2 linked regions of the Oreochromis niloticus genome follow. The protein of the gene in region 2 interacts with the protein of the main gene of each other region in a pairwise test. Links are inferred from orthologs where the notes say so. Each region holds a gene or a part of one and is shown on either strand. Other genes may lie near its edges.

Region 1 (7,249 bases), on a different chromosome or scaffold from region 2:
CACTCATCTAAAATGAGTCTTTACAACAAGTCGTCAAACAACGCCCAGACTCCAATGGGGACTGAGACACACGAGGTGAAATTAATACCAGCTATGCAATGCTGGTAATGAATTGATGCTGTGAGGTCATGCTGCTGAACATGAAGAATCCTGCCCCTGGTACAAGTCCTACCACAGACCCTTGCTGCAGCGCTCATGCTTCCTGTCATCGATCTGGCGTGTAACAAGGCTTAAAATGGCTGAAACTTCAGTTTCTCAAATTATGACTCTTTTGGTTGGCCATTTTAGTTTGCGTACTATATGCATGGGGAAAATTCACTATATTGAGGTATCTGTTTAACACCCCCCCCAAAACAATAAAAACAATAAAGCTTGCAGACAAATTCAACTACAGCTTTGTTAACTTCGTTAAACTCAATGTATGAATGCAGGCGGCAAGAAAATTAAACACTCGTTTAGAAAATTACACAATTATTGATGAGATTATAAAATTGTACATTTTATAATATCTCGGTTATCATTAATACACTGCTTTTGTGACACCCCTAATCTGGTTTGGAACCTTATTCAGATATAAGCTTTATGATTAGTAACGAACCGACTGTTCCAGGTAAATCGTGATCTTAAAAAATATATTTATATTAAAAACATACATTCCCCCCCTCCTCTTCTGATGAACATGAAGAAAAATTTCAGGCTATCTTTCATCACAGCAGCTTTGTCGCTTATGTCAGTCAAAAGGCTGATAAAATTAGGCCTATTATAAGTGCATCACTAATCTGTCAGATTGAGCTTCGGGGCATGGCGATGTGCAATTTCTACCTTTAACCTTTATTTTAGAAAGCAAAATGTTAAAATAACCAGATTATAGCAGCATCAATACATCAATTAATGCTATGACGGTTGTTTACCTTATACTCAGAAAAGCCAATCGGTTGCTTGGTTGTCAACTGTCAGATCTGAAATAGTCGTTCTATCAGAAGATGTTAGAAGACATCGCCACTGGCTGAGGAAAAGTAAGATAGGTTTCACTTTTTTAACCTTCCAATAACCAACACGATCAGCCAACAGTCAGAATATTGTCTGACACAGCAAAAACGTCAAAGGTAAATTACGTGTCAAATGCCATGTTTCACTTTTTCTACGCCCGTCTCTCACAGGGTCAACATTTCCATCGTTAGAGGTTGCATACGCTGATGATCAAAGTTCATTTCTTTTTTAAACACTGAAGACTGATGTGGGTCAAACTGATAACTGAAACGAGGAGTTGAAGCGCATATAAGAGGAGAAGGAACCAACTTCATTTCTGTTAAACCAAAAAAGGAAAAAACAAAAACAAAGTAAAGAGCCCCAAGTGTCTAATAAGAGTTTAAAATGAAGCAAAACGATACAAGAGTTCCGACTTCCCAGCTACTGGATACTCACCCCAGATCAGCCATAGTTTCCCTTTGAGTGTGAGTATTAACAAAAGTGCTCTGTACACTGGCTCATTTTCACCACCGCCTCACACTAAAGTGAGAGGGTGGTGAAAACAAACGAAAAAAAAAAAGGTCTTGATTCTTGTGCTCGTGCTAATTACCTTTTAAATGCAATCTTTTTCAAGAGGTGGAGGGACCAAGGCCACCCCTCCTTTCAGTTACAATACAGGAACGGCTTTTGTTTGTTCCTGTGGCAAGTGGCAAATGGCCTGCAGCAAACTTCCCCATTCGAGCACATTTTTACATTGTTAGACAGCTGAAAAGATGATGAGTGACAAGATTTGAAGAAGAAGAAGTTTGGAGCAAAGAAAGAGGCCATATTAAGTGGGAGTGCACTCAGAGGGTTTGTGTGTGGTGGGACATCTTTGGGAACTTCTTGGGTTCTTTTGGTTTTATAAGCCTGGTTAAAACAGACGCCTCCACACAGGAGTCTGTGACAGTGGGAGAGAAGCTGGAGCTCTGTGACAGGATCGAGCTTCCTAAACCTAAACAGAGCATCAGCCAAAAATAAAAAAAAAAATTGAATGCTGAGTAAAACCAGAAAGCCCGATGACTCGCGCGGGTTCTGATACGCAACCGATAAGCGCGTTTCCACTGTGTGCATGAGATTTATAATGCAAACATGCAAGCGTGCGGCACGGAAAACACGTTTAAAAGAAAGAAACGCTAAGCGGACAGCTCGCAGCAGCGGACGGAAACAGTGCAGGCTGTGTGAGTGCACGTATGAGCAAACACGTGCCAACTTGGACACTGCTACTTCCTAATAACCAGACACCAGCGGTCAGGTGAACAATTAAGCTAAATGAGTCATTAGTCAGAGCGAAGGCGGTGGCTAATTTTAGAAGTTAAAAGGGAAAAAGGGACCTTATAAACTTAAGAGGGGGAGGATGACTAAGATAATGAGCTCAAAACTAAGCCAGCAGCTATGTTAAAACCATAACAGTGCACGTATGACCCAAGTGCAACCTAAAGGACGGGAGAGACAAAAACACTGCTAAGAAAAGTGTGAGGGGGAACAAAGTTTGTTAGTCCACAGCTTCAACAAAGAGCATGCGTACTGTTAAAAAAGAGAAAAAAGGATAAGAACTACACAGGTCACACTTACCGTGCTCGCGACGAGACCCCCGTTTAGGTGAAACAAATCCAAGTTGAGGGGGCGAGTATTCCCTGCGGCAACACTTCAGTCGGGAAAACCGTCGGTAAAATCCATTGAGAAAGCTTCCAGCCGGAGCGCTCCTTCGGGAGAAGCGGCGCTAAGATGTAAATCCCATGTTTTTGCGCAACAGCACGAGGCGTTAAAGCACGCGAAAACTTCAAACAGCCGCCGCACGATAAAGTTTATTAGCAAACTTAAAAAGGGAAAGAAGAAGAAGACGAGAACTAGAGAAGAGAAGCAGGCGACAAACCTCACATTTACAGGTAGTTTTCACTCCGTGTGTTTTATCCGCGACGCTCAGAACGTCTTGCAAGTACTTTTTTTTTTCTCGCGTGTGAGTGTGATTTTTTTTTTCTCTCTCTCTTTCCGGAGAGGTCGGGATTTGCGCTGTATGTGGCGTCAACCTGAAAGGGGGGGGGACAGAGCGCTTGTTGTGACAGCGGATATATCGCATCCGGTGCTCAGCCATTGAATGCCAGAAAGTAGCCATTCACACCGAGTCTGATCAAGCCGATCAACCTCTTTGGAAATATGTGTGCTTGGGCCCGTAAAGTCTTCAGTTTCTTACAGCTGACACATTTTTTTTATTATTATTTTTTAAATAAAAGAAGCACGTTACAGAGCAGTCCCCTGAAAATAATGTGTCATATGCTTACCATGTGAGGGGGTTTATAGGTTGCAAATAAACAAAATGTCGGTACATTTGATTCGTTTTTAGCTAACTTTACAGGGTACATGGGCAGCACAGTATTAGTATTTTCTACTTAATGCAGTTTGTGTACTTTGTGAAAGTGAAAAAATGTAACGGTTACATTACATTATGAGAGAAGGTGGGTAATTGAGCACATCTTGTGAAGTACAGTATAACTGCTAGGTAGTGGTTTTGTACATTTGTGTAACATTATGTTGCTGAATATTGAATTAACCTATATTAGGATTTATCACCCTTTTTCAAGTGCAAATTATGGCCTCAGAGTTAAAATTTGTCAGTATTGATTTTGTCCAATAAGATAAAGTTATCCCTCTTCAGTTATTATTTTTGCTTGAAAATGAGATTGTCAAGCATACCAACACTAAAACCTGCTGTAAATGTTGCAATAAGACAGAGTTTGTAGTTGTAAGCATCTTGCCGCCCTGCTTTTACTCGTGTGATTGAGCCGTTAACTTGCTCAGGGTTAGGAGCTTGGGTTGTCGAGCTAAGTGTGTCCAGTGTTCGACGGTTTTTCAGTTGAGGCAGTTAAATGTAAGTCTGCTTCACTGACATGGTCTCAGGGTGGCGGTGTGCAAAAATGACCTCTCTTGTGTGTAGTATTCCCACAATATTTAGATTTTATTTTAGAAAATCTTGATATTTGGTGTTCCTGTACAACATTGCCATGTAAAATATCATGATACTATGCTGTATCGATTTCCCCCCCCTACCCTTCCTGCTGAGGTAGCCTTTTTATACTGCTGTCTTTTTTGTGCTACTTCTCAGTGTTTATGTAACAGCTAAATTCTTTTTATACATGATTACATTTTCAAAATTTGACTATAATATAACAATAAAAACATATAATATATAGAGTACATTTACTCAAGTACAGCACAAGTTCACTTCAATTCCACTTCCTTTCTCAGGGAGACTGTGTACTCTTTAATTCCACTGTAAAAAGCTAACAACTACGGTTAGATGCAAAACTGTTATACAGCCTGCAAATTGTGACTGTTTATAAAGGATGGTGTGGCTTTATTTATCAAAGTGCTTGCTAGTAATTGACAGGGATGCTTTTGTAATTTTACTTTGAAACACAACATCACTTCTTTTCCCCTTTTTCACACTCCCAAGTCCTTAATGGAAAACTACTGTCTCCCTCTAAAATCAAGGTAAGCTGAAGACAAACTGTGAGATGCAGTGCCAGATGGAGTAGTTTCACATACTCATATTGACTTTCCTTTGACATACAGGGCACTGAGTTAATCTTACTGAACACCTCAGGATACTTTTCTTATTTCACACCTTTTTAAGCTCTACTACCAGGCTGCTATGGATTTAAATCCAAAAGCAATCAATGAGAATTGATACAACTAATTAGCAAGTCAATACTGTAGTTACCCCAGAGCTGTTGTGAATAATTATGAAGTGGCGCCACTGTGTGGCCATCTCCATATACTACAGGCTACAATCAATAGCATGTGGATTTTCTAATATAATAATAGATTTAAACTAGCTTCAAAATCAGTCACATTCCTTTCCATGACTATGATAAACACATGGGCACCAATAAAGAAAAGCAGAATGGCATAAAGATGAAAATGGGATGCAGATCAGTGAGTCTGGATTTAGATTCAAGGATGAAAGACTGAATGGGTTTTATTTAGTAGTTGAGTCATACACTTATATCATCTTACAAAAAGGCCCGGACAGGCTGTTACCCGCCTTGTGTCCCTGCAAAATAATAAAAAGAGCAATTAGCTTGTGTTCAGTGAGCCTGAACTCAAGCAGAAGAGATTCAGTGAAAACAATGGACTTGGACATCTCCATTCCCCCGTTTTCCTCTAATTTAGTAATAGAGTGTCTGATCAATTTCAGACAGAATAATTATGAAGTTGTGAGAAGCACACTGCTGAGAGAGGTCACTTTAATCAGCTCAGTGTATGACTTGGCAAATTAACTTGGATCAGGGTCAGCAGGCTCTCAAGACTTCCCACTTTCTTTCTACAATTTGTCTTCCTTTGTTCCTCCCTGGCTGCTCTTCATTTACCCTTAAAGCTTTGTTGTTCTTGATAACATGTTACATGTTTCCAGCAGCACACACAGAATGAGCCAAGGCACAATCAAAGACTTGCAAAATAATTCTGTTTATTTAGGTGCTACATATGTAATGTCCCCCTTTTTGGTAATAAGCACTTTACTTTGCTTACATTTGATAATTTAGACACATTCTGTTGTTGTTTTTTAACTATCAAACATCACATTTTAAGCTCTGTTAAGCTCTGAAACAACCAGATCTGTTTTTTCCACTATGTCTGGTCAGACTTGATTTTTGTCCTTTTGACTATAACCTAATCCTATTAGAGAATTGTGTGATTATTATTGTTATTATTATTAATTTCATCATTATTTTGTTGTAATTAGTGTGTGAATTCTTGTGTTACGGCCGAAAGTGTGTTTGTTAGGTCATAGTGGCCTTTGAAACAGTCTACTCAGCTAATTCTTGATGTTTGTGGCAGATTGTTATTATGAGTTGTGCAGTTGTGTCAGTTTTGGTAGGCATTTGCTTACGGAGAAGGGTTATCAACCTACGCAAACATGCTCCCATGCAGTTCTTCCTAAAGCTCAACAGCACTTAGTTTGTCTGTATAATGGCCTGAAAAAGTATTTGCTCATCTTTGATTTCTTTTTTTTTCTTTCTTTCTTTCTTTTTTTTTTTCTTTTACATATTTCTCACCTTTAAATGTTTCACCTCATCAAACAACTTTTAATATTGGACAAAGTTAACCTGAGTAAATATAAAAATGCCGTTTTCAAATGATGGGGAAAAGTCTCTGCCAACCTGCGTGGCCCTATGTGAAACTGTGAAACTGGTTTTGCCACCCTTGACAGCAAGAACTGCAATTAAGCATTTTTGATAACTGGTAAATGGTAAATGCACTGGTTCTTTCATAAAGCTTTTCTGCTCTACCTGAGCACTCAAAGCACTTTATAAAACGTACCTCATTCGCCCATTTCTTTAGCTCATGTCACCCATTCACACAAGCATTTTTTTCTATGCTTTTCTAAGTACGTTCTGTCTAACATTCACACACATTCATACTCTGATGGAAGCAATGGAGAGCAACAGTCAACAGATTTTTTTCCCTAAAATCACTTTTGTTTCGTTTCGATCAAGAGTGGTTTTCGCCTTTGAACTTTCCTATAGAGGCTGTTTTTGCCCAGTCTCTTTCTTATTGTTGAGTCATGAACACTGACCTCAACTGAGCCAAGTGAGGCCTGCAGTTTGTTACATGTTGTTCTAGGTTCTTTTGTGATGTCTTGGTTGAGTTGTTGATGCACTCTTGGGATTTATTTGATAGGCTGGCCACTTCTGTGAAGGTTTACCATTGTTTCAAGTTTGATCCACTTGTGGATAACGGCTCTCAACATGGTTTGTTGGAGTAGCAAAGCCTTAGAAATGTCTTTGTAACTCTTTCCTGACTGATAGATGTCAGTGACTTTGTTTCTTGTCTGTTTCTTGAGTTGTGTTGCTGGTGATCTGGTGGAAGTTAAGAGGTTAAGCTATTCAAGTTTTGGCCAAACCTGCATTGAGAACTACAGATTTCAAGGTCAGGAAATGCATACCAAAACTACTCCAAAAAACAAAAGCACAATTTCTGCCATCTTTTGTTTATTGTTTTGTTTTCAATATGAGCTAAATTATTTAATGAATGGGTAACGCACATAATACACAGTCTTAATTAAGAGCAAAGTTACCATCTTCCATCCGTTATGGCCTATCTCCTGCCTTTATTTGGGACTATAGGCCACATGAAGATGTTAGTCTAATCATGGAAACTGTAATAGACCTACAACTCTCCTTGAAAAGTCTGAAGATTTGCTGGGCTTGTTGAATTAAAAGCATTCAGTTGTGGAACG
Region 2 (7,162 bases):
TCTCAGTGGAAACTCCTTTTGACTGGCAAATGAGCTGGTTACTCCCGTGACCTTGGATTGCACACCTCAATAAACGTTTGCCATGGAAAGTGTGGGATTGCCCTTCTTTACATGCACACTGGCACAGGACGGAAATATGGAAATATTGCAAATATAAATTTATGAGTGCCAGATGCCAAGTCTGGTCCCAAGATTTAGTTCCCAACATAACTTCACACTTCTCACTGCATATTTTGAGTAGCAAGAAAAATAAGACTACAAAGTCTTTAAATGTGGAATTAGCTTGCAGCTATTAAAAATAAATACTCAAAAGGAGTATGACAGAGAAAACACTTTGTTAAATCGCAGGTGGACAACATGACATGGTAATATCAGATATCAGACACCACGCCAGGACCCACCGGATGTACTGCTTGTCTGACACAGTTAGCAAGAGCTGCTGCTGCCCTATGATTCTCCTGTTTCAGCGCTTGTCTCCTGTCAAGTGAAAGTGGAAATAGAGCTGCAGACATCCAACACAGGCAGCGAGATATGACTGAAAGGCAGCATGGGTGGGGTGGAGTGGGGTGGGGGTTAGAAAAGCAACAACATTATCAGCACTAGACCCGCTGAAGTGGCAAAGCCTGGTGTGGTTTATAATCCACAGCTTCTCCCATACATCACCCGGATACAGCGGGCTGCAGGAAATCCAAATTTAGCCTGCCTCATCACTCAGCGCGTTGCCCTGGGGTGCATTCGCGTTGAATTAACTAGCACCAACAGGCTAAATGTGGAGTTTGACTTGGGACAGATGCCGGGGTCACAAGTACAGAGCATGAAGATGCGGGAGCTGCTACGGTCCTTACCTCTAATCCTGATTTATTACACAATAATACGCACTACCCGTCTGCAGTCACGGCTGTCACTCAGCCTCACACACAATTAGCCATTAGGCTAGCCGCCTGTAATCAACAGCAGGCGGTAGGGTTAGCTTTCATTTCGGTGTTTTTCTTTGCTTGTTTGAGCTTACCTTTGCTCCACCGGAGATCTCCTGTTGTGCTGTGCCACGAAAGGAAAAAGCTGCCTGTAAATATTTAAAAGCAGTCCACCGGGGCGTGTGTCGGTCTGCTAACAGTTAGCTTTAGATGTGTTAATGTTTACGGGTGGTACTCGTCTTTGGGCAGCGTCAACGAGTGATGACTCGCGGTTTCCTCAGCCCGCCGGCTTCACGTAGGTCCAGTTTTAATGTCTGAAATGTTAAAAATCAACTTTGAAAATGATAATACGCTTTCTAATATTTATTTACCAGCATTCCTCGGTCTATTTGTTAGCCACCAGCGTGCCTGCACGATTCTATCAGGACTGTTTTTGTGGCAAATGAAGTAACGTAACCGGAAAATGCACGACTTCCGGACGCGGAATTCAAACTAAAGGGTATTAAAAAAACATTTAAGACGTCCGCGTTGTGTATTTATGTATTATGTATTTCAGTCAAAATTATCCAAATAAGACAGTTTTGGGTGTCCTGTCTGTTTGATTTAATTCATGAAAACTAAATTGCATTACAATTTACAAACATCTGTTTAAAAATACATACTTCAGTGTGCGCTTTGTTTCAATTTTTTAATTTTCACATCAATAAAAGTTTATGTCTTGTCTTTATCGTATTTGTCCTGTTTTTCTTTCTAAAGCGCCCTCTAGACTACGTCCTATAATGTTTTATATGTGAATAAAATGGAATCATCTTTTTATAAAATAGTAATAGTTTATTTTATCAAGAGCTGGTCATTTTACAGTTGCCCTGAGTCTCTTTGGGACTTTATTTTGAAGAGCCAACAGCTAATATCCCGTGTACGGGTTGTTACTGGATAACTTGACCCGTCAGCTCGAAATTTCCCTCCTGCTCGGGTAACGTCTGATTTTCCCTTGCAAACGTGTCAAACGTGTAATCGCTTTGGTGCACTTTCAAACAGCTGACAGTTACACGTGCATCTGGTAACACTACTTATTGGAATTCGTATATATAACCCGTCAGGTTTTTCTTATATAGTAATGCTTTTTTTGCTGAGATTAAATTTGCTAAGGAGACGTGTACATGAATTAATTGTGATCGATTACATCACTTTACCTCTGCCGGGTTTTCGTGAGTCACAACTACCATGAGCACCCCTGTCTGTTTTTGGTCGATCTTATTTTTAATGTAGCTGATCATTTTTCTGCCTCCAGTAATAACTACAATGATTACTGCAGCTGCTGAAATTGAGGAACTGCAAGTATCCATGCCTGGGTGTGCGGTGACATCTAGTGGTGGTTGGAGTTTTGGGTTCGGTAAAGATGCACATGATGTGACAACATCTACAGGGGTAAAGCGGTATAACGGTAGTGTCATCGATGGTTTCACATAAAAATTCAACCATCAGTCAGTTCTGTCATCATGGATTTTTCCCCTAAACCAAATAGTACTGGACCATTTACAACCCGGAAAAACTGTAGTTTTATCTCGATTTATTAGGAATCATGTATTCCTAATAAATCAACTTTTGCTGCCATGATACCAGGTCTCTCTCGGAAATTAGATTTTTAATCTCAGTGACATTTTTACTAGGTTAAGTAAAGGATTAATTAAAAAATTAAATTAATAAATAACTGTCTCTCTCTCTTTATACTACTGTTATGTTATAAAAATGCTGAAAACTACAATGCTCATGAGATACTGTAAGTATACCAGCTGGGTGGATATACATACTTAACTCATACGGTTGCTCAGATTTTAGATCTGATTCAAAACTAATAAGATGTTACATTTTTGGTAATATTGTAATGGCAAAAACCAAACTACTCAAACTGCAAATCAAGTAAGGGGAACTAGAAAGAGTTTTCTATTTAATTAGCTGAGTCTGCAAAATCAGATATTGAAGGAAAACCCCAAGGAGTTCCTTGTATTTGAACTCACCTTTCAGGAGGATGGCTTATTTACACCAGTGTCTCATTACAGATGCCAAAAATAAAGACTGTATATCCTAAAACCTGTTTTCAAATTTGAAAAGATCACTTTCACTTCAATATACACTGCTCAAAAAAATGAAAGTAACACTTTGAAAACACATCAGAGCACTGGGCGCCAGCGTTGGACTGCCAGTATTCTATAGCAAACATCAGTCTGACTGCCTGGTGAGCATGCAGCCCACTAAAGGTCACTGGGCCTCAGGCCACCCTCATGAAGTCTGTTTCTGATGGTTTGTTCAGAGACATTCACACCAGTGACTTGCTGGAGGTCATTTTGTAGAGGTCACTCTGGGAGTGCTCATCATGTTCCTCCATGCACTGTTCCACTGCTGATCAAAAGGAAGAGCAGCCAGATGTACTGTACAATATAAAGCACCTTGAAACGACTGTTGTTGTGATTTGGCGCTATATAAATAAAACTGAATTGAATTGAAATTGAATAGATGTCCCACATGCTAAGGAAACGTCTCCGTCATTTGCAAGCATTACAGCAACCTGGGGATCAAAAACACCTATGCCAGGTGAATGGTACAGTTGAAAACAGTTAACAGTAAGTTCAAATGTTACTGTTATGTAAAAAGAAACCACATAAAAGTAAAAAGACTGCAGTGTCAACACTGTTTAACATCCTTTTCCCCCCTGATGGGTCACCAGGCCAGTACATTAGACATTTTACTGGCTGTTTGTATACTTTTAGTGGCCCACAAACAATCCAATTTAATAAATTTTTATCCTGCTATACAAATATATATATTACATTGTAAATCTATCTCAGAAAAAATAGTAACTAAAACATTAAAATAAATGTGGCAGGGTCAGTAACGTGCTACTCTGCTGCAGGTACTGCTGCTGGTTTTTCCAGCAACCCTGAAAAAGATGAGAGGATGGATGGATGAAAAACAAACCATCATCTTTAGTATATTATACTTCCTACCCCCAGAACGGGGTACTAACACACAAAAAAAACCCGAATAATTTTATAGGAAACATAATAAATCATAGTAAATATATTTTTGCTATACAACTGTAGACATCGTTTCTATTATGTGCTGTGACCTGTACATCACCAATGTTTCTGACAGACCCTCTCTTCTCTTCCTCCTCCTCCTCGACCGTTCCCCCCTGCACTGCCTCCTGTTTCCCACAATGCTCAGCGAGCATCACCACCAAGATGGCCGACGCTATGGAGGAATATGAGAAAGAAGCTGGCTGCGTCCCTATTCTCCATCCTGAGGTATGGTCACTTGGGTTCACGCCTTCGGACGAACACATGAAAGCAAAGTAAAGGCGTCACCTCGCTCTGCGTGCCGGTGGCTTTGTGTTTTCCCCTTTCTTTCTTTTTTTGGAAAACCCGATGCCCCCTGCAAAACCACCGGTGGGGGGGTGGCAGCCAGCTAACGATGCTAAAGGTGCTAGCGCTAGCCCCCCTCTCACTGCTGTATAGCCTTTTAACGCTGGGCAGATGTTCGTGTCATTGGTAACATTAAGCCAGGTTGTGTTTTCCCTGGAAGTGACCTACAGCGAGTAAACAAGCCTGTAGTCCCCGTTTAAGTTCACGTGGGAAGAAGGTTAATCTTGTACGACGTTAGCTTTGTAGCTAAACTGACAGGAATCACGCTAGCTGCTGTGATGTATATGTAGTATAGGTGGGTATGAAGCTATTGTGTACTGTCGGTCGTTATAATAATAATGATAATAATAATAATAATAATAATGATAATAAAGTGCTAACAGCTAAAAATGGAGATTTAAAAACTGCACTCTGTGCATACAACCAGTTAGCTAACACAGCAGTAACAGTTGTCAGTAATGGTGTTTGTGTTTGTGTAGGAGCGGACCACCCGGGTCACAGTGCTTTCTGTCACCTAATATCATTAGACATGGTACGTTATTACTAGGCTGGTTATAACTCCCTATAATACTGTAAATACTGTACATAAGTACAGATGTGAGGTCTTCCAGTGTTTCCTTTCTATTGATATTCCACAACAATTCAGAGGGAAATGGCACGTTTCACTTCACTACATTTATCTGACAGCTTTTCTAATGGACGAGTTTTCTTTACACAAAACATATGAAGACTTTGGTGTTGTTTTGTTAACTAGAGATGTCCTGATATGTGAGGCAAACATTGGTGTTGTCCTATCGGTCAGTGTTTATCAGCTGTGTCACATAAGTTGTGCATTGATTAGTTATTAGGAACTATTGTATCCAGAGCCAAAACAATTATTTGACTAGTCAAACAGCTGGTTCCAAACATTTGCTGGTTCCAGCTGTCATGTTCAAAAGTTGTAGTTGAATGTCAGTTTTTGAACTGAACAGTCAGCTAATGCAAAAAGCAATTAAAAACACCCTTAAAATTAATAAAAAAGATATATAGTCTGCATTGAGTAATTGTATGTTTTTTGTAAACTGTTTTTTGGTTTATGCTTACATTTACAAGCACAGAACTATTAAATTTGTCCTTTTACTTAAAGAATCTGAATACTTTATCCGCTTCTGTATTTTTGTAATATATTAAGATAAACTAATTATATTTTTAGTTAATAGTAGAGGTTAATTTGTGACATATTTGTCCGAAAATAACTGAAGAAGTATTAAAGTGTTAACTAATTAGCTAGCCTGAATGCAACATATTTGTAGAAAGTTTGTCCATTTACCTAGATCTGTTAGTTGCAAACCTATTCAAGGCCAAGGTGACCAGCTTTACCATTATTTAGCATTGCTGTAGAAAGTCACATTTAAGAAGTGCTATATAACAATTTAAAATTTCATACCTCAGGGTAGTGGTATATTTTGTTAGGTTAGCTATTGAACACGGCCTGTTATCAGTTGCCATCTGTGCTTGGCAGGTAATCTAATCATCAGGGAGAGTTTTGTTTGAATGTAATGCAGTCTGGTAATGCTTCAGTGACGGATGGCTTGCTTTTCACTCTCAACAGTTCAGGCTAGTTTACCCTCAACCATGCTCAGTAACTGTTAAAGCTGGCGGTGAAAAGAATTCATATCTTAAATGTCTCCAAGATGCTGGCAGGATGAGTTGATGTACTTGGGCTGGTGATCCAAATAGTAAAATTCAAGCTCTGAATTTACGAATCTTCTTCACATATTGGGCCAGTAAGAACTCAAATAGTAATACTGCATGAACAGGCAAGTTGCCACTTTTGAATGGTTTTGCATGAAGGAAGTCTGTGTTCTTTTGTCTTTTGACTGATCCTAGGTTCTTTACAATATTAAAGAAACTATTTTGCCGTACACCCAGCAGTGAAATATAATACCACTTTAAGTAGTAAGAGCAGGAATGATGGCAGACTTGCAGTTTAATAAAACCATGTGGTTAATAAACTGCTTTTGGAGCTTGAAGAGTTCAACAATGGTCTGGTTCATCTTTATCATTGGAACTACATCCAAAATACTCCCAAACAGGGGCAGAGACAGTTTTCTGGTTTACTAGTCCCATCACATTGTCCCCAGTAACTGTGGTTTCTCAGCTGTGCTGCCTGTTTCAATAGTAGAGATTGACCTACAAGGGCCCTATCATACAGTGGTATGCAAAAGTTTGGACACCCCTGATAATTTCCATGGTTTTTCTGCATAAATCATTGGTTGTTTGGATCAGCAATTTCAGTTAAATATATCATATAGCAGACAAACACAATGATATTTGAGAAGTGAAATGAAGTTTATAGGATTTACAGAAAGTGTGCAATAGTTACTTAAACAAAATTAGGCAGGTGCATAAATTTGGGCACCTTTGTCGTTTTATTGATTTGAATGCCTTTAGCACTAATTATTGGAACACAAAATTTGTTTGGTAAACTCATTGACCCTTGACCTACATACACAGGTGAATCCAATCATGATAAAGGGTATTTAAGGTGACCAATTGCAAGTTTTTCTCCTCTTTGCAATCTTCTCTGAAGAGTGGCAACGTGGGAGCCTCAAAACAACTCTCAAATGACCTGAAAACAAAGATTGTTCAACATCATGGTTTAGAGGAAGGATACAAAAAGCTACCTCAGAGATTTCAGCTGTCATTTTCCACTGTGAGGAACATAGTGAGGAAATGGAAGACCACAGGCACAGTTCTAGTTAAGGTCTGAAGTGGCAGGCCAAGAAAAATCTTGGATAAGCAGAGGTGATGGATGGTGAGAACAGTCATAGTCAACCCACAGAC

What was found. The genes of interacting proteins can lie anywhere in the genome.
Region 1: the proteins of zdhhc17 (region 2) and spry2 interact in binary tests that used the Homo sapiens proteins (3 or more experiments, as listed by UniProt). The link is inferred for Oreochromis niloticus from reciprocal best matches to the Homo sapiens genes ZDHHC17 and SPRY2.

The regions. Positions count from the first base shown.
Region 1 is NC_031986.2:7,826,072-7,833,320, forward strand, and holds the start of spry2 (protein sprouty homolog 2), read right to left. Parts: upstream 3,057-7,249; 5' UTR 2,584-3,056; intron 1,574-2,583; exon of another isoform or gene 1,426-1,573; intron 1,389-1,425; exon of another isoform or gene 1,116-1,388; intron 1,007-1,115; 5' UTR 912-1,006; intron 1-911.
Region 2 is NC_031981.2:35,670,967-35,678,128, forward strand, and holds the start of zdhhc17 (palmitoyltransferase ZDHHC17), read left to right. Parts: upstream 1-4,139; 5' UTR 4,140-4,156; coding exon 4,157-4,219; intron 4,220-7,162. UniProt on the Homo sapiens protein: Palmitoyltransferase that catalyzes the addition of palmitate onto various protein substrates and is involved in a variety of cellular processes.